2 linked regions of the Stegostoma tigrinum genome follow. The protein of the gene in region 1 interacts with the protein of each later gene in a biochemical or structural test. Links are inferred from orthologs where the notes say so. Each region holds a gene or a part of one and is shown on either strand. Other genes may lie near its edges. The genes, in order: gab1 and grap2a.

Region 1 (10,007 bases):
GTAATGTTTTGGGGTCCTGAGTTTGAATCCTGGCGTGGCAAATGGTGAAACCTGAATTCAATTTTTAAAAGGCCAATGATGACCATGAAACTATTGTCTGGTTTTGGAAAAACCCATCTGGTTCACCAATATCATTTCAGGAGGGAACTTACCTGATCTGACTTACGTGTGACTCCAGACCCATGTTAAGAGTTAGCCACATTAATTAGCTGAGAGGCAATTAGGGATGAGCAATAAATGCTGACCTAGCCAGTGATATCTACATCCTGTGAATACATAAAGAAACTTACTTCACTACAGTGCTGTCTCCCCTGCATTCCCCACAATAACATTCCCACTGTTTGTGACCTTCACCCTTGCAGTTCACAAGAGCAAGCTTTGTTCCATACCAGAGACACTTCATCCCTCACTGATTAGAACTGTTGATCTGAAGAAATGGCGTGTCATTCTCCTCACTATTCACTACAGTTTTTAAAAAAGGAGCAAAAACAGAAAAAAGCTGCCGTTCGAACATTTTCTAGCAGTTCAACAGACAAACTGCCTCAGCTGTTTCTATTTGAATACAGAAACAAAAAAAAAGTCCCAGGCTTGTCTTGAGCCATTGTTACCAAGTCAATCGATATAGATTTTGTATCATGCTTTATATTTAAAAAGTGTATCTCTCAGATGTTATTGTTGTGGTTATGGTACTGTATTTAAAAATCTGCAGGTTAGGTTCGAATGGCACCAAGGTAAACTTAAATTTTAATTCAGAAAATGTGCAAAATTTATTGACTTGCACATTACTGTGTCAGTGATTAGGAACAGCCTTCCTTCTTCCATACCAATAGTAACATTTTAAAAATAATACTAATATTGTATTAGAGAGATAGTAGGAACTGCCAATGCTGGAGAATCTGAGACAACACTGTGTGAAGCAGAAGAGAAATCATTTCTGAAGAAGGGTCTCGACCCAAAACATCAACTTTCCTGCTCCTCTGATGCTGCTTGGCCTGCTGTGTTCATCCAGCTTCATACTGTGTTGTCACAAAATATAAAGTTATTTTGTTTCTATTCATGCCACAAATCATTACTGTATATTGGTGCACAAAATCAATTCTCCATATGATAGGAAATAAAAAGAGGAAGCATCTCCTGCAATTTCTACATGATTAAAAGATCTCTAATGTTGTTCCTACATTGGATCTTGCCCTTTCCTGATTTTCTTTGACTCAGCTTTGGAAGCAAAGCCTTCAAAAAGGTTTGGTCCAAGGTTCTGGGATTCATTCCTGCATTCTATCTGCTTCCTTTATGATGCTCCATAATGTCTACCTCTGACCAAGCTATGGGCCAGCTGTTCACTAAGAAATTTTGTCTGATAATATCCTTATAAAAACATTTAAGCTTTTCGCTACATTAAATGCAATCTGTGGCTGTTTGCTGCGAGAAGTCAGTAGCATGCTGGAGGGAGGAAGAAAAAGAATGCAAATAGGTTAGATTGCTTGTATTAAATTTGTAGAATTAAATAAAGGGGTTAGCTTAGGAGTGTTATCAATGTCTCATCATCAAATCAGAGTCGGATCAAGTTTCACTACAAACATATCTGTACACAATCAGTAGTGACATATCAGAATGGGACAAACAGAACATGACAGTGCAACACATTATCTTTTGGGTGAGCCTTTAAACTAAGGTGCCATTCACCTATCAAGGTAAATACAGAAAATCCTACAACACTATTTAAACAGCAAGTGTGTACTCCTGAGAACCTAGCCAACATTTATCCTGGAGTCAATACAAATGTGATTATTTATTTCATTCATGCTTGAATCTTTGTTGTGCACAGGTTGGCTACCATGTTTGCCTATAAAATAGGTGTCTGTGCTTCAAAAACTAATTTATTGGCTGTGAAATGCTTTATTGCAGTCTGAAAATGTGAACGATTCCACTCCTATGTCTTATATAGCATACACTGAAGTTCTTCTTTAGTTGAGGAGCGTGATAAGAACTTCAATTTTTTTTCCTCCTTTCTCTGGCATGATTACAAATAGGAATTGAATAATTTAACTCAAACCTACATAGCAATAAACTTGTACTTGCACTTCCTCCAGGTGCAAAAACATTGCTGCAAACAAACATTGTCACAAACCAACATTGAGATAAATGACAAAGTCCTATTCTTAATTATTATAGATGTAAGATATTACAATGGGGAACACAGAACTGACACTTGATCAGAGTAAAAACTGCGCATATCACACTCACATTCACTCTACATTTTTGTTTAGACAGGCTGACAACAGAAGCTTGCTCTATATGCAATACAGAGTCACTGACTAATGCCATTACTTGCCACATTTTATGTCAGAAATCCTATTGTCTTTGCATATCCTTTTCTGTAGAACTAAATAAGTAACAGAAAGCAATATTCATTTCTGAATACTTCAAATTAACAGTTTCAAAAAAGTTACAAGGATCCATTCAATTACATAGCAAAACATTTACTGCTTTTACCAAACTGAATATTCCCTTCACAGAGTTAGTTTACAAGTAGTAAAGAAAATCTTACAAGTTTACTAAAAACAAAAGCTCAGACTCAGGATGATAAAACTGATTAAACCACGTGAAGGAAGGTTTATGATGGGATATTGGTAAAATCCCTGAGAAAAATTCATATATTGCCACAGAACACGTCTTTAAAAGTATCTCAAACAAAAATGAATTGTTTCAAATGTACTAAGTCACAACTATTTCAGATCACCACGATACTAGTCTTTAAGACTACCTCAAAGTTATTCTTTTACCCAAGTAAAAGTAGGCTCCACAAAATTTTAAAAAGTTCAAAGATCCTTCCATTGACAATTATTTTCTCAAGCTGCAGTAAATAATTAGCCCACTCGTTCTTTTAAATCTACTGGCTGAAGTATGAAAAAGTTTGCACTGTTAAATGTTGTAAATAAATTACATACTACCCAGCAATAAAACCATAGCCACTCATCATGTTAGCTTTTGGTGGCCTAATTCTGAGAAATATGTCCGGTGAAAAGCCCCGCTATTGCCACCTGAACGAATGGAAAACATTTTAACTTGCTTCAAGCCGCCAGACAACATGCTTCAATTCCACGACGTGCAGCACTAAACAAAACCTGGGCCGAGAGACATGGGACATCACAAGATATTTCCACGCATTATTAAACACATAGTTCATCCTTCCACGTCGCTTGGCATTGCACCTGCATTAGAAGACATGAACACCCATTCAACCTCAAGTGTACGCAGAGCAGCAGCCAAGTTAATGGGTGTGTCCCGTATTGGAAACTTGCTTTCTGACAGTGTGCGATTCAGCTACCGGCCCTTCAAAGCTCTCACTGCTCAACACACAGATCACTCTAGTTTTCAGCCATGTGTGACTGCAAACCCATGAAAAGATTATAAACATCAGAACATATTCACAGTAGACAAAGGACTCCATTGCTTTTCGAAAGACAGATCTACAAACGTTGAAAATCTGAAATAAACTATTAGAAAGACCGTATCTATGTTGGCCACAACTCAAGTGGACTTTTCACTAAAAAAAGTCACGCACTAATTCCAAACAGTTCTAATTTGCATATTAACAAAATTAAAAAGTGTATGGGGCAATTGCCAGCAGTTACTTTGTAACTACTGCATTCTTGAGTGCGAGCATTATATTGTGCCGAGAGGAATCAACCACTTTTTTTGAATGATAAATTAAGTTTTGTATAGGTAAACAACGTTTACAACTCGGTTCGCTTACAGCAGTGCCGCCGTATTTGAATTTGCAAAACGAAAACACTTTCTCATGTATTTAAAAAAAAACTTACGTAACGTCTCAACTTTTTCTCCGGTGGAGACTTCCTCAGCCAGCCGTTGTAGACGATATCGCCGCCACTCATCTTTCTTGCTCACGATGGAAGGGCTGTGAAGACAAACCAGGATCGGCTTTCTCAGACCCAACCCAACGAAATATGAATCAACTTTCCCAGCACAGACCAGGTACTCCTTTCTCTCTATCACGATTCCACTGTTTAAACAAACTGAAAAAAAAGGAGCAGCCGTGCTCGGGGTGATTGATGGTGGGACAGATTGGGTTGTTGTGTGTGGACTCTGACTCGTCCGCCTTGTCCAGCGATGTCCGGCTCGGCCACTCTCGCGCCGCGATTCGCGGGAATGATTGACAGCTCGGCTGTCCTGGGGTCCGCAGACTTCAACTAAAACTCACCGACTGCAACCGATCCAACTATTCTGTGACGTTCCCGACGTGAGCTGACGTGATCCAGTGTGAGTTTATATCTGTGTGTGTGTTTGTGTGTGTGTGTGTGTTGGGGGGGTGAGGGCGGAGAAATTTGCAATTGAATTGTGGGATTTGTAGTTTCAAAACCCTCCCAGCTGCTCTTTTTTTCTCTCCCAGCACGTAGCACAATCTTTGTTCCCAGTGATTTCTCTTGATGCTCTCCCCATCCTGCTGGAATGGGAAGGTAGTCCTACAGGATGGAAACCGCCTGCTGTAGTGCACAGGGAAGGTCACGGCCGCGTAACTCCAATGCAAACTGTTGGGAGATTGCAATGTGGCAGACTTGGTGCCTGCATTGGTGACTGGTATGTGTTGAGCAGGGTTAAAAACTGGGGATGTATCAGTGATAATGGGAACTGCAGATGCTGGAGAATCCAAGATAACAAAGTGTGAAGCTGGATGAACACAGCAGGCCAAGCAGCATCTCAGAAGCACAAAAGCTTTTGTGCTCCTGAGATGCTGCTTGGCCTCCTGTGTTCATCCAGCTTCATACTTTGTTATCTTAAATACTGGTGACCCTGATTTATGAAAACTGGCTTTCCCCGTCAACGCCGAGAGACCCCACTCCCTCCCCTCTCCTTCCAGCTACCAGGAGGGTCAGAAAACTACATTTCCCAGCAGTGGTGTGAATCCCTGCGTCTTATTCTGGGAATCATCCCGTTTCACAGCCCCTGTGGTTGGGGGCGGGGAGGTATCGACGACAGCCGGGGAAAACTCACTGGTGGAACCCAGGTGTAATAATTCAGTAAATCTGACCAGAATCTGGCTTCTGATGGTGTCATTGTCGATTAGATTCAGCATAGATTCAGCACTCCTCGTTTGATATCTTAAATTTATAACATCGTTCTTCCGCGTTTTTGTAAAATACGTTTTTAACTTTTTTAACAAAAAATGTTTTGGCAGAAGTACAGGGTTGCAGTGGCAGTCATTTCCATTATGGAGTTGTCATGAGTAAAATCATTATGCCGGCTGGCAGAGGAATCTGTGGAATGCGGGCAGAAAAAAAAGTTCCAGATTCCTGGAGCTCACTTGAAGGTGAAACTTCCTCCGAGTTTGCGTGGAGTGGAAGTTAGAAGAACGCAGAGTAATCACGGTGATGGAAGGCCCTCCTAGCTTATGCGTGCAGCAAACAACCAACATGAGTCCCCCACCCTGTTCACATTGAAAATTGTATAACCACCTCCTGCAACACCCACCCCAAACAAACAAGGGGGACTGGTTTGTCTAGTTCAATAGTTCTTTTCCCAAGCTGATGCCGCACTTCAAGAAAAAAAATTAAACTTTATTCATATATATATTTACGTACAACCGGATGATCTACCAGGATGAAAACAGTTCTGCTGGGGCTTTCAAAGGCGAAATCATTGTGTCTTTGTTAGTCAGAGTGCGCACCTCATGCACTGAAATGAGTAAATAGGAGTGCGTGCTTCCAAACAACATTGCCCTACTGCGCGATCGATTTTTGCAGTTAAATTTTTTCGAACGCGCCCACTTAAAATAATGTTGCAACGAACTGTGATTTGAGATGTTTTCTTCAGCTGGGATGTACTGATGACTTAATCGTGGAACTGGTGGGGAAGGTCTGCTGAGTCAGACAATGCAAAGGAGCTGAATTGACATGTAAGGTAGAATTAAAAGAATGCTGAAGCATCCTTTTGGTTAATGGCGACCTGGACTGATGTGAATCCAACTCCTGGTCACGGCCAAATTCAATAATGTGGTCACTCCTACATCAGGGCATAACATTATTATTCAATCTTCAAATGGAGAAAAAGAAGTTTTTATATCAAAAATTAATATTATTAAATATTTTGGAGAATATTACAAGGTTTTGTATTACTGGTATATAATTTTAAAATTTGTGTAAATTAATATAGTTAATTGTAGCAATGAACATAGATAGAAAGAATATGTTAACTAGTACCATATCAATTATAAACAAATTATTTTTGCATCGTTGTGCAAATAAATAATTGGAATGGACATATAGATTATGGTGTGCATGTTTGGGATTCCTGCTTTTAGCCTGACTCAATATTGTGTTTATCAAGGTGAGGGATATCAAGTCGAGAAAATCTTCAAAAGGTTTAAGCTGAATAAACATGATGTGTCAGTAGGGCTCCTTTGCACTTATGTGCAGAAGGTAGACAGTAAGAGTTAGTGTGTCATTTCCAGGTTGGAAATGCAAAACAAATAGAGTGCCAAAAGAGCCTTAAGTATTTACCAAGATAATAAAATGTGAGGCTGGATGAACAGAGCAGGCCAAGCAGCATCTCAGGAGCACAAAAGCTGACGTTTCGGGCCTAGACCCTTCATCAGAGAGAGGGATGGGGAGAGGGAACTGGAATAAATAGGGAGAGAGGGGGAGGCGGACCGAAGATGGAGAGTAAAGAAGATTGTCTCTCTCCACCTATCTTCTTTACTCTCCATCTTCGGTCCGCCTCCCCCTCTCTCCCTATTTATTCCAGTTCCCTCTCCCCATCCCCCTCTCTGATGAAGGGTCTAGGCCCGAAACGTCAGCTTTTGTGCTCCTGAGATGCTGCTTGGCCTGCTCTGTTCATCCAGCCTCACATTTTATTATCTTGGAATTCTCCAGCATCTGCAGTTCCCATTATCTCTTAAGTATTTACCATCTATATTTATGATTTGGAAGAGGGGACAGAATATAATGCATCTAAAATTGCTGATGATACAGGTGGGAAGACATGTACAGTAAAGACAGGAATCTGCCAGGGATATAGATAGGTTGAGTGAATTGACAAAAAATTGGCTGATGGAGTTTAAAGTGAGGTCATGCACGTTTGTATGAAAAAAGGCAGACTATTAAATGAAGAGAAATACCAGAAAAGCGCAACGGAGATGAACAGGTAATTTACTTCATCTTCACGATAGAGGATATATGTAAACTTCAAAAACAATGATAAATCAGGAGTTGAATAAATGGAGATTTCAGGGAAATCTCAATCACCAGACATGTGGTGCTAAGTAAAAGGTTGGACCTGTGGATTGACAAGTTCTTGGGATCTAATGAACTTTATTTTGAGTCTTGAAAAATGTCATGAGTGAGATAGATCTAATTTTCTGAAAATCCCTTTATTGAGGGATGGTTGTGTTAGTTTGAAAGATAGCGAATGTAGCTCATTTATTGAAAAAGGAAGATGGAAAGAATGAAACTACAGACCAGTTAGGTTAATGTTTGTCATGGGGAAATTGTTGGATTTTTTAAAAAGTATTAGAGCAAGTCACATGAGTAAGTTAAATGTAATCAAGCAAAGTAGCATGGCTTTGTGACAGAAAAATCAGGTTTGACCAATCTATTAAAGTTCTTTGAAGACGTGATATGAGTAACAGAGAACCAGTGGATATACTGTACTTAGGTTTCCAGAAGGCATTTATTAAGATGTCACATTGAAGATTATCTCAGAAAGTAAAAGCTCAGGGTGCAGAGGGTATCATATTGACATGAATAGAATATTGCCTGGCTAACAAGAAGCAGAGATTAGGCACATAAATGAGTCTTTGTCAGGTGAGCAAGATATAATGAGTGGTGTGCTTTAGGGATCACTATGGAGATCTCAACTGTTTTACAGTTCAGATAAATTACATCATTGAAGTGATTGGAGGTCTGGTTGACCGATTTACTGATGACACAAAGATAGGTAGGAAAGTAAGTTGTGAAGTGACAGAAGTTAGGTGTATGGGCAAAGATGCAGCAAATGGAGTGTAAAGTGCAAAAATGTGAAACAGTCCATTTTAGTGGAAAGAATAAGAAAAGTTATCTAAATAGTGAGAAATTGCAGAGTTATGAGATGCAGAGTGATCAAAGTGTACCCAGAGTTGCATGATAAAATGAACGATAAAAGCTTATAATAGAGGTAAACCAAGTTATTGGGAAAACTAATAGAGTTTTATCATTTATCACAAATGGAATTGAATACAAAAGTAGAGAGATAATGCTTCATTTATACAAGACATCTGGAGTACTGTATACAGTATTGATTACCTTATTTAAGGAGGCACACAAGAGCATTAGGATTAGTTCAGAGAAGATTTATTCGACTAATAACTGGAAAGAGTGCAGTGTCTTAAGAGGAAAGATTGGACAGGCTAGGCTTGTATCTACAGAGTTCAAAAGAGTAAAAGGTAACTTGATTGAGACCTAGGGGTTCAAGCACATAGTTCATTGCAAGTTGCATCATAGGTGGACAAGGTGATTAAGAAGATGTTTAGCAAGCTTGTCTTCATTGCTCAGACCATTGAGTATAGGAGTTATATGAGATCATGTTGAGGTTGTACAGATTGATGAGGCCACTGTTACAGTACTATGTACAGTTCTGGGTGCCTTGCCATAGGAAAGATATTATTACATTTGAGAGGATTCAGAAAAGATTTGCAAGGATGTTGCCAAGACTGAAGGGTTTAAGTTATTAGGAGAGGCTGGATAGGCTGGGAATTTTTTCACTAGCGGTAGGAGAGTGAGGAGTGACCATATAGAGGTTTGTAACATCATGAGAGGCATATGAGATAATGTGAATAGGAAAGGTCTTTTCTCTAGGGTGGGGGAATTCAGATCAAGAGGGCATATTTTAAGGTGAGAAGAGAGAGATTTAAAAGAGACCTGAAGGGCAACCTTTTTGCACAGCGGATGGTTTGTATGTGGAATGAACTACCAGAGGAAGTGGTGATGCAGGTGCAATAACAACATTTAAAAGACATTTGGATAGGTACATGAATTGAAGAGATTTATAGGCACATGGGCCAAAAGCATGCAATTGGGAGTAATTTACCGTGGGAAACTTGGTTGGCATGGACAAGATAGACCAAAGGATCTGTTTCCATGCTGTATGCTTCTATGACTCTGTGCAAGACCCTGAGGAAGCTTGACAGTGAAAATGTTGAGAGAGTGTTTCTTTTGGGAGAATTTACGTTCAGGAAGTCACTGGTTAAACATCAGAGATCTCCAATTTAGGGCTGAATTTAGGTGTAAATCTGGTGAAGTAACAAAATAGGACTGTTTGCATGTCTAATAGCAGAAACAGCATGCATTACGCAGGGATAGTGGGAACTGCAGATGCTGGAGAATCCAAGATAATAAAATGTGAGGCTGGATGAACACAGCAGGCCAAGCAGCATCTCAGGAGCACAAAAGCTGACGTTTCGGGCCTAGACCCTTCATCAGAGAGGATTACGCAGGGCTAGGTGATCCCGCAAGGAAAGAATCAGGTCTAAGCTCTGCAGTCCTGTCACATAGAGCAATGAATGATTGTGGACTATCAAACAGCTATTAAGAGGGGGAGGAAGCTTTACAAACATCCCATCATGGGGAGTCTAGCACATCAGTGCAAAGGATAAGGCAGAAGTATTTGCAAGTAACTTCAGCTAGAAGTGCCGACCAGATGATCCACCTCAATAAAATAAAACAAAGAACTGCAGATGCTGGAAATCTAAAACACAAACAGAATGGGCTGGAGAAGCTCAGAAAGTCTGGCAGCGTCTGTGGAGAGAAAAACAGTCCTCTGCACAGTTGCTACGAGACCTGCTGAGATTTTCCAGCACTTCCTGTTTTATAATCTCAGTGTACATCTGAGATTACTAGCATTTGACTACTGGACACTGCAAAGGCTATGGACCATGACGCTATTTAATCAATGAAATTAAAGATATCTGCTTCAGAACTAGTTGCACCATTAGCCAAGCTATTGAAACCATAAGA
Region 2 (9,632 bases), on another chromosome or scaffold:
TTTCCTCCAACCCAATGACCTTTCGCTCTGCATTCCAGTTTCAATTCTTGACTTTAATTCCTCTACCGTTGGCGTCTGTGCTGTCAGCAAGCTGCAGCCCTATTTGACTGGAATCCCTTCCCTAAACTGCGATGCCTCTCAATTCCTTTTTCAAACGCTTCCGACAATCTGCTTAACCTGCTATCTCCTCATGTGGCTTTGCTGTCAAGTCATTGCCTTACTATATTCCTATGAAACACCCTGACATGTTCTTCTAAATTAAGGGTGCTACTAAAAGGGAAGCTGTTAAGTAATGCTGAGCAATTCTCATTCGGACTTAGGGGAAATAACACATGTCTTAAACTGGGATCTTGCAGCTTTCTGACTGACACAACCCCCAGCACCAGTCATGTTCAATACTGAACTCCATGTGGGATGTATTTGTATGATTTTTGTGCATTTGTGTGATTTACAATATTTGACCAAATCATGGCTTTGAGAAGGAGGTTTGTAATTGTTCATCATTGAATGTCCCTAATTAAATTGTCTTGATCACAAATGAGGAATGCTGAAGAAGGGATTGGGACAGTCCTATAGTACCTGCAGGGGAACGGGCCGTTTTTTAGGGTATTATCCATCGTGTACAAAAAATGCCCACAGGCCTCTTTCCGCATTGGAGAGAGACAATTGGTCACAGCCTGGCACCCTGAGATCGGCAGCTGCCACCCCAGTGGTTGCAATGTGGAACAACCAAGAACAAGATAGAAATTGCTGGAGAAATTCAGCAGATGCTGCCCGACTTGCTGGATTTCGCCGGCAATTTCTGGTTTTCCTTTGCTTCAGACGTCCAGTGACTGCAGTTCTTGTTTTCATTCCCAGCGCTAGGCAAGATTTCACAGAAATGTTATGGTGTAGCAGGGGGCCATTCGGCCCACCGTGTCTGCGCCACCTCTCTGAGCATTTGAACTTAGTGCCAGTCTCCTGCCTTTACCCTGTAACCCTGCACGCTGTTTCTGTTCAAATAACCGTCCCATGTCTTCCTGAATTCCTCAACTGAACTGCTCCACCACACTCAAAGGTAACGCATGTCAAACCCAGACCATTCACTGTGTGAGAAAGTTCCTTCTCACCTTTCAACTGCTTCCTTTGCAGATCAGTTTAAAACTGTGCTCTCCAGCTCCCAAAACCATCCACAAGTAGAAACAGACTCTCCCCATCCACCCAGTCCAGATTCGCATCCCCCACCATGATGCTGAACACACCTACAACACTTCCTCCTAGCCCTCCTCTCTCCGAGCAAAACAGTCCCGACTCCTCCAATCTGTCCTCGTGGCGAACCCCTGGGACCACTCTCATCAACTCCTTCTGATCTGTCTCCATCACATCCTTCCTATAATGTGAACTGTACATAACATTGTAGATCTAACCAGTTCCCTTAACAAATTAAGCGTAATCTCCCTGCTCCATGTCCCTATTAATGAAGCTTACTGTATGCCTTGTTAAGAGCTCTATTTGACCTCTACAGGGAAAGAAACCAACAAGGATTGCAGGAAGAGGGTATATGAAACTGGAAAAGGTATATCTGGGGAAGGGATAGAAGGGGGCGAATGGAGGGAGAAAGAATAAGACAGAGAAACAATCCTCTAGAACTGAGAATTGTTATTCTCGGAAACATCACCTTCAGTAAAACTGAGGCAAAGTTGGACCTTCGGTCAGCAGATTGGGCAAAGTTTCACTTGTAATTAACATCATTAAATGTAAAGAAAGGAAACATGTCCTTTGTGAGTTGAGGACTTTGTGCACGAGAGAAAGTTGATTTTGATTGTTCGTGGGGACTGGGTTGTCTCTGTGAGGGGAGCAGCACACGCTGGGGTCTGTGCTCAGAGAGAAACAGAGCAAGACAATGCAGGGATGTACATTTCCTCTCTACATTCCCTGTGTTTCCGTGGCAGGGATAACGGTAGTCACCCTGCCGTGGATTTTTAGCAGGAGACCGTGGCCTCAGGCAACAGGATCGTTACTTTGCAAAGATTTAAGTTTTTTACAACTTAAAGATTTTTGTTTCTGCCTCTTTTGGAATATTATGATCATTTTAAGAAGCAATTAACACAAAGAGCTGAACATGTCGGCAAAATAACTGCATTGGGAAAAATCATGTTTCTCGTGTTCACTTGAATTACAGAAACCCTCAATGGTGGAAAGAGGCCGTTTGGCCCGTCAAAGCCTGTAACAACCCTCCAAATAACATCCCACCCAGACCTACTCCCCCACCCTACCCCCATAACCGTGCAAGTACTGTGGCTGACCCACCTAAGCTGCACAGCCACGGGGAAACTTACCCCGGCCAATCCACCCTAACCTCTGCATCTTTGGAGCCCCAGTGTTCTATCTCATGCACCGTAGCAGCCTTTCTGAAGTATCCACTTCTTCCTGAGTGGCACCAGAGATTTTGAATCATGTTGTGCATCAAACAACCTTCCCACCCAGTCCATCACCTCCACCACCACCTACCCCACCCCCCCCCAACCATCTCTCTCAAAAAGACCCACGTTTATGGGGTGTACAAGCACAACAGTGAGAAATGAGAAATTTTTACCATCAAAACCTCCCAACACTCCACCTCCACAGTGTCCTCTCTAACCCTGGGGTGGGGGCCGCTCCCAGATCCTCAAATCGTACCCCAGTTAATGGAAACAGCAGGGGGTGATGGCAGAGGATGGGGAGACAACATACACAAATAGGCGACGGGTCTTTCAGATTAAAGATCCCCAACTCAAAAACCTGCTCACGTTTTCATTTTGATGCCTTTCCACGAACGTAAGAATAGGTGGCGGGTAGGGAATGACTGGGATTATCCAGGTGACAGAAAACACCAATCCTAGGTTCTCCTCAGGTTTTTCACTGTGAGTGCATGGCCTGGTTTGAGAAGTTTGCTTATTTTCGTTTTGGCCAACTCTGCGACCGCAGGCAGGATGTCAGAGAAGTCAGCTCCACTGACAAAGTCAAAAATTCATCTCCACCTGAAGGATAACACAGTGAGGGAGCTGGAGGAACACGGTGAGGAAGCTGGAGGAACACAGTGAGGAAGCTGGAGGAACACGGTGAGGAAGCTGGAGGAACATGGCGAGGAAGCTGGAGGAACACAGTGAGGGAGCTGGAGGAACACAGTGAGGGAGCTGGAGGAACACGGTGAGGAAGCTGGAGGAACACAGTGAGGAAGCTGGAGGAACACGGTGAGGAAGCTGGAGGAACACGGTGAGGAAGCTGGAGGAACACAGTGAGGGAGCTGGAGGAACACTGTGAGGAAGCTGGAGGAACACGGTGAGGGAGCTGGAGGAACATGGTGAGGGAGCTGGAGGAACACGGTGAGGAAGCTGGAGGAACACGGTGAGGGAGCTGGAGGAACACGGTGAGGGAGCTGGAGGAACACAGTGAGGAAGCTGGAGGAACACGGTGAGGAAGCTGGAGGAACACAGTGAGGGAGCTGGAGGAACACGGTGTGGAAGCTGGAGGAACACAGTGAGGAAGCTTGAGGAACACGGTGTGGAAGCTGGAGGAACACAGTGAGGAAGCTGGAGGAACACGGTGAGGAAGCTGGAGGAACACGGTGAGGAAGCTGGAGGAACACAGTGATGAACCTGAAGAACACGGTGTGGGAGCTGGAGGAACACGGTGAGGAAGCTGGAGGAACACAGTGAGGAAGCTGGAGGAACACGGTGTGGAAGCTGGAGGAACACGGTGAGGTAGCTGGAGGAACACGGTGAGGGAGCTGGAGGAACACAGTGAGGAAGCTGGAGGAACACGGTGAGGGAGCTGGAGGAACACGGTGTGGAAGCTGGAGGAACACGGTGAGGAAGCTGGAGGAACACAGTGAGGAAGCTGGAGGAACACGGTGAGGAAGCTGGAGGAACACGGTGAGGGAGCTGGAGGAACACGGCGAGGAAGCTGGAGGAACACGACTGCTGCCTGGCCTGCTGTGTCCCTCCGGCTCCCCCACGCTGTGCTATCTCTAACGCCAGCATCTGTAGGTCTTACGATCTCTGAGTTACCTTAAGGATGTCGTCTTTCTTGAAGCTCAGCTCATCCTCTCCAGCTCCGTTGAACTCGTACTTGGCCACAGCTTCCATCCCCCCTGACTGGAGTCCCACTGGTCAGAGATGGACTGCAAAACCTTCAAGTGAGAAAACAGCAAGGAATCTCCTTTGGTTGAGCTGTTCTGGGAGTAGTGTGTGTCTGTGTGTACACTGCAGGAGATGATGGTTGGAGCGGGGCGGTGGGTTGGGAGGGAAGTGATAGAGCTGGGGGAGGAGACAGGGTGGGAGGGGGAGGGGGGAGTTGCAGAAGCATGAGTTACCTTTTCTCAACGACGTTCAAACTCTGGTTGGTGGAAGGTCCCGAATTTTCGTTGTTGTAAAAGCTGCCTTAATAAATTGGCAGGTAGAGAGAGATGTTTCTAGCGCAGCGCGACACCCCTCTCGTCTGCTGTTCGTCAGACTGTCGTTCAAATAAAATCGAAGCCAATTTCTTCTTGCGCTCCGGGAAAACCACAACCTAGAATTCTGCAAGGCGGGGTGGGGGGGGGCGGGGTGTTGTGTGTGTGTGGGACTGGGGGGTGTTGTGTGTGTGTGGGACTGGGGGGTGTTGTGTGCGTGTGGGACTGGGGGGTGTTGTGTGTGTGTGGGACGGGGGGGTGTTGTGTGTGTGTGGGACTGGGGGGTGTTGTGTGCGTGTGGGACGGGGGGGTGTTGTGTGCGTGTGGGACTGGGGGGTGTTGTGTGCGTGTGGGACGGGGGGGTGTTGTGTGCGTGTGGGACTGGGGGGTGTTGTGTGCGTGTGGGACGGGGGGGTGTTGTGTGCGTGTGGGACTGGGGGGTGTTGTGTGCGTGTGGGACGGGGGGGTGTTGTGTGTGTGTGGGACGGGGGGGTGTTGTGTGCGTGTGGGACGGGGGGGTGTTGTGTGCGTGTGGGACTGGGGGGTGTTGTGTGTGTGTGGGACGGGGGGGTGTTGTGTGCGTGTGGGACTGGGGGGTGTTGTGTGCGTGTGGGACTGGGGGGTGTTGTGTGTGTGTGGGACGGGGGGGTGTTGTGTGCGTGTGGGACGGGGGGGTGTTGTGTGCGTGTGGGACGGGGGGGTGTTGTGTGCGTGTGGGACTGGGGGGTGTTGTGGGGCTGGGGCGGGTGTTGTGTGTGTGTGGGACTGGGGGGTGTTGTGGGGCTGGGGCGGGTGTTGTGTGTGTGTGGGACTGGGGGGTGTTGTGTGTGTGTGGGACTGGGGGGTGTTGTGTGTGTGGGGCTGGGGCGGGTGTTGTGTGTGTGTGGGACTCGGGGGGGTGCTGTGTGTGGGGCTGGGGGGGTGTTGTGTGTGTGTGGAACTGGGGGGGTGTTGTGTGTGTGGGACTGGGGGGCTGTTGTGTGTGTGTGGGACTGGGGGGCTGTTGTGTGTGTGGGACTGGGGGGCTGTTGTGTGTGTGTGGGACTGGGGGGCTGTTGTGTGTGTGGGACTGGGGGGCTGTTGTGTGTGTGTGGGACTGGGGGGCTGTTGTGTGTGTGGGGCTGGGGGATGTTGTGTGTGTGGGCCGGAGGGGGGGGGACTCGAACAGCTTCTCTCCCTGCCGACACTCTCACACTAAAATGTTTCAAAGCAGGACTCACACAGGACTGGCCTGCACTGGGTCAAAACGGGGACTCTCCCCTTTGTCAACATGTGGAATTCCAGCCCCACTGTCAGAATCTGCTGCTCGGAAATCGGCTTCTTTTTCGATGGCAGGTTTTTTTGGTGCATTCAAAGTCCTGAGCGCAGCTGAGCTGCTTCCTGTGGCGCTGAGCATTGATGTGAGTTTCACATGTAAAGGAGGGCTGCGGGCAAAAATTGCACCGAAGAAAATTCATTTCAATTGCAAACTAATCGGTTCACTCAGACAAATATCACACTTTGGAGGGGAGTGTTTGCAGCAGAACTGGGACTGAAAGCTTTCAATTAAATGCTCCATATCTTTCTGGGTCAGTAATGTCCTTTAGGGAAGGAAACTGCCACCCTTACCCGGTCTGGCCTACTTGTGACTCCAGACCCACAGCAACGTGGTTGAATCTTAACTGCCCCCTGGACAATTAGGGATGGGTAACAAGTGCATATTTTGCCAGCAACACCTCTATCTCATGAAAGTCTGGCGGGAGGAAGGGCATGTGAGCTAAGCTTAGTTTCAATTCTGCTAAGTGTAGGTGCGTGAAGGGCAATCTTATTGAAGCACCAAAAATGATAACAAGGTAGACTAGATGGAGGCAAAAAGCAACTTCCTGCGTTTGGGACCAGCCCAGAAATAGATGTCATTGTTTCAAAATTAGAGCCATGACATAGCTGGAAATAATGCGTGAAATTAGGCCTCAATGTCCCCGAACTTGTCACTAAAATCCCAGTGAGGCCACCAAAGGTCAAATCTGCCTGACTGACTGTACCCAGGACAAAATCAATTCACACTAGGTTGCTTCAATACTTGTATTACAACACACTGGGGTAAGCCTACTGTACATTGAGTCCCACTATTTCCAGCATTGTGCCCAACGATAACTTTTTTAAAAGTCTGCACAGTTCCTCAATTTACCCAATTTTCAGACCCAGGTTGATAGAAAGCATGGACCAGGTTTCTGCACTGTACGAGAATTATCATTCATTACAAGTAACTTGACCAAGTAAACAGATATAAACTAATGCCATATAATACTACAAACTAAAACTCTAATTCCCTTATAACCTCTCTCTTAAAAATACAGACACACACACACACACATGCATGCACATTAAAAGACACACACACTAACACACACATGCGTGCACACACATATACACATGCACGCACATATACACACACACACACGCATATATTCACACACATGCACACATACACACACACAAACGTGCATGTGCATATACACAAACGTGCACGTGCGCTCACATACACAAACACGCACATACATACACGTGCACATGTACACACACTAACACACATTCACATACCAATGCATGTGCACATGCACATACACACAAACACACGTGCATATAAACACACACAAACGTGCGCAATACAAGCACAGACATGCACACACACACGTGCGCATATACACACACAAATGTGCACGCACATACACAAACACATGTGCACATGCATAGACAAACACACGTGCACACATACACATGCTGCAAACACATACATACATGCACAAACACGTGCAAGCACATACACAATCTCATATGCACACACACACAAGCATGCATGTGCACATACACACACAGTCAACACATGCACATACATAAACACACAAACACTCATGCACATACACACAAACACATGTGCACATACACAAACATGTGTGTGCACATACACACAAACGCGAGCACGCAAGCACATACACACAAATGTGTACAAGCACATATACAAACAACATGCACGTACACATACACACACTCAGAGACACAGACAGAAACACACATGCATGCACATATGAACACGCGTGCACACAAACACATGCACGTACATACACATACAGCCACACAAACACACATGCGCATCTATACACACACGCGTATGCATGATCACATACACATGCACACAAAAAACCTGTGGATACACACATAAACATGCACACACACACACATACACACACATATGCACCAACACACACACAAACATGCAGACATACACACACAAGCATGCAAACGCACTCATAAACACCCACGTGCGCACATACACATGCACGTGTGCACACAGACACATGCACGTGTGCACACATGCACAAACACGCTCACACATGCACATATCCACATACACACATGCGTGCATACAAACACACACATACATGTGCACATACACACACACATACACACACACATGCATGCGCACATACACACACACATGCACCTACACACACACAAATATGTGCATCTGCACATGCACACACAAACATGCATGTGCGTGCACATACATAAACACGCATGTGTGCACATATTCACACACATTCGCACACATACATACTCAGTGATGATTAAGACAGACCAAAGATGAACAGTTTAACACATATTATTGGTGGAAAAGAATATGGGTAGGGTAAGCAAAAATTCTAAAGGACTAAACTCCAGACCACAAGATGAAAATTCCTTTAATCTTTCACAGACTTTTTGGTTTTTACAATGGCATGTGCTGCCCCTCGATTCAATGGTTGATGAGGTGTGGTTTTAAGCTTTCTTGGGATTTTTGTCTCCTTCCCCATCCAAAGAGAAAGAGTATTTCATTTTATTCTCACACTGACTTCTTCCATTCGATTGGCACCAAAATGAAGGTCATACAAAAAAAAGTTTGAAACAGGACAAAGGAAACCTGGGAATGAATTTGCTGTGTGTGTGCGTGTGTCAGCACGTGTGTGTGCGCGCACGGTGGGGTGTTTTTCCATTAAGGAATACATAACTGCTTTAACTAGGGAAAATATTTCTGAAAATTCATCCACTCCCCCACTGAATGAAGAAAGAAAGAGAAGATGACTTTGATGGGATTGTAGTCTCAGCTCCCCAATAGTAAGAGAGAAATTGAGAAACAAATATGTAGGAGTCCTCAGGTATATGTATACTAAGGTTGGGGCAAAAACCGTTTGTAACCATAATGTTTAGATGTGCTGTTGGGATGTTAAGCCGTACCAGGCTATGGCCCAACTGCTAGAAAATGGGATTAAGCTATTAGGAGTTTATGTTTGACCAGGACAAACCTGATGGACTGAAGGGTCTCATCCTGTACTGTAGAACCCGATGACTCTTAATAAATGGCAATGGAAACTATAATAATGGAAGGAGGAATAGATTTAAGTAAGGAATCTAGAAATCTAGACACAGGGGATCAGTGGTTAGCACCAGGGACCCGTGTTCAACTACACACTCGGGTGACTGTCTGTGCGGAGTTTGCACATTCTCCCCGTGTCTGCGTGGGTTTCCACCCGGTGCTCCAGTTGCTTCCCACAGTCCAAAGATGTGCAGGCTATGGTGGATTGGCCATGGGAAATTATCCTGTAGTGCTCAAGGATGTGTAGATTAGCGATGCTAAATGCAGAATTGTAGGGTGGGGGAGCTGGGTCTGGGTGTGATGTTCTTCAGAGGGTCGGTGTGGACTCAATGGGCTGAATGGCCTCTTTCCATACCGTAAGGATTCTGTAACTCTATTCTAATAACTGTGGGGTCAAGGTTCCCTCTAATTATTTTTTCTTCCACCCCCAACTTGTGAGATCCGTGCACAGTGCAAGCTTCCAAAAGTGAAAGCTCACACGCAGGGACTTCCCAGTGGCTGTGCAACTTACACAGATGGGGATACAAAGCAGTTTAAGTGCTCAGGGCAGGATACAAAGGGATGATGAGGACTCCACAGTCAAATGGCCCATTGCCAAGGTTCGCAGTTGGTCTGAGGGGTGTCATAAATAACCATCTGAGGCATGTGAGTGTTTCATAGAAAAAAAACCCACAGTAAGAGAGAGAGAGAAGAGAAGCAACTCAGTAACCACTCTAAGAAGGTTCAAGGGAACAACTCCTTTCCCCATCCTTTGAAGCGGTGAAAGAAGTGTGACCTGGAGGTCTAAAGAAAGAACTGTAATCTAGAGGAAGTAAGGATTAGAAAGGGCCA

What was found.
Region 2: the proteins of gab1 (region 1) and grap2a form a complex in vitro, tested with the Homo sapiens proteins (2 studies listed by BioGRID and IntAct, with this or other methods). The link is inferred for Stegostoma tigrinum from reciprocal best matches to the Homo sapiens genes GAB1 and GRAP2.

What each region holds. Positions count from the first base shown.
Region 1 is NC_081354.1:29,130,498-29,140,504, reverse strand, and holds the start of gab1 (GRB2-associated-binding protein 1), read right to left. Parts: upstream 4,312-10,007; 5' UTR 3,897-4,311; coding exon 3,825-3,896; intron 3,243-3,824; exon of another isoform or gene 3,219-3,242; coding exon of another isoform or gene 3,213-3,218; intron 1-3,212. UniProt on the Homo sapiens protein: Adapter protein that plays a role in intracellular signaling cascades triggered by activated receptor-type kinases. Plays a role in FGFR1 signaling. Probably involved in signaling by the epidermal growth factor receptor (EGFR) and the insulin receptor (INSR).
Region 2 is NC_081391.1:24,715,373-24,725,004, forward strand, and holds the start of grap2a (GRB2-related adapter protein 2a), read right to left. Parts: upstream 4,496-9,632; 5' UTR 4,334-4,495; intron 4,273-4,333; exon of another isoform or gene 4,151-4,272; 5' UTR 4,107-4,150; coding exon 4,029-4,106; intron 1-4,028. UniProt on the Homo sapiens protein: Interacts with SLP-76 to regulate NF-AT activation. Binds to tyrosine-phosphorylated shc.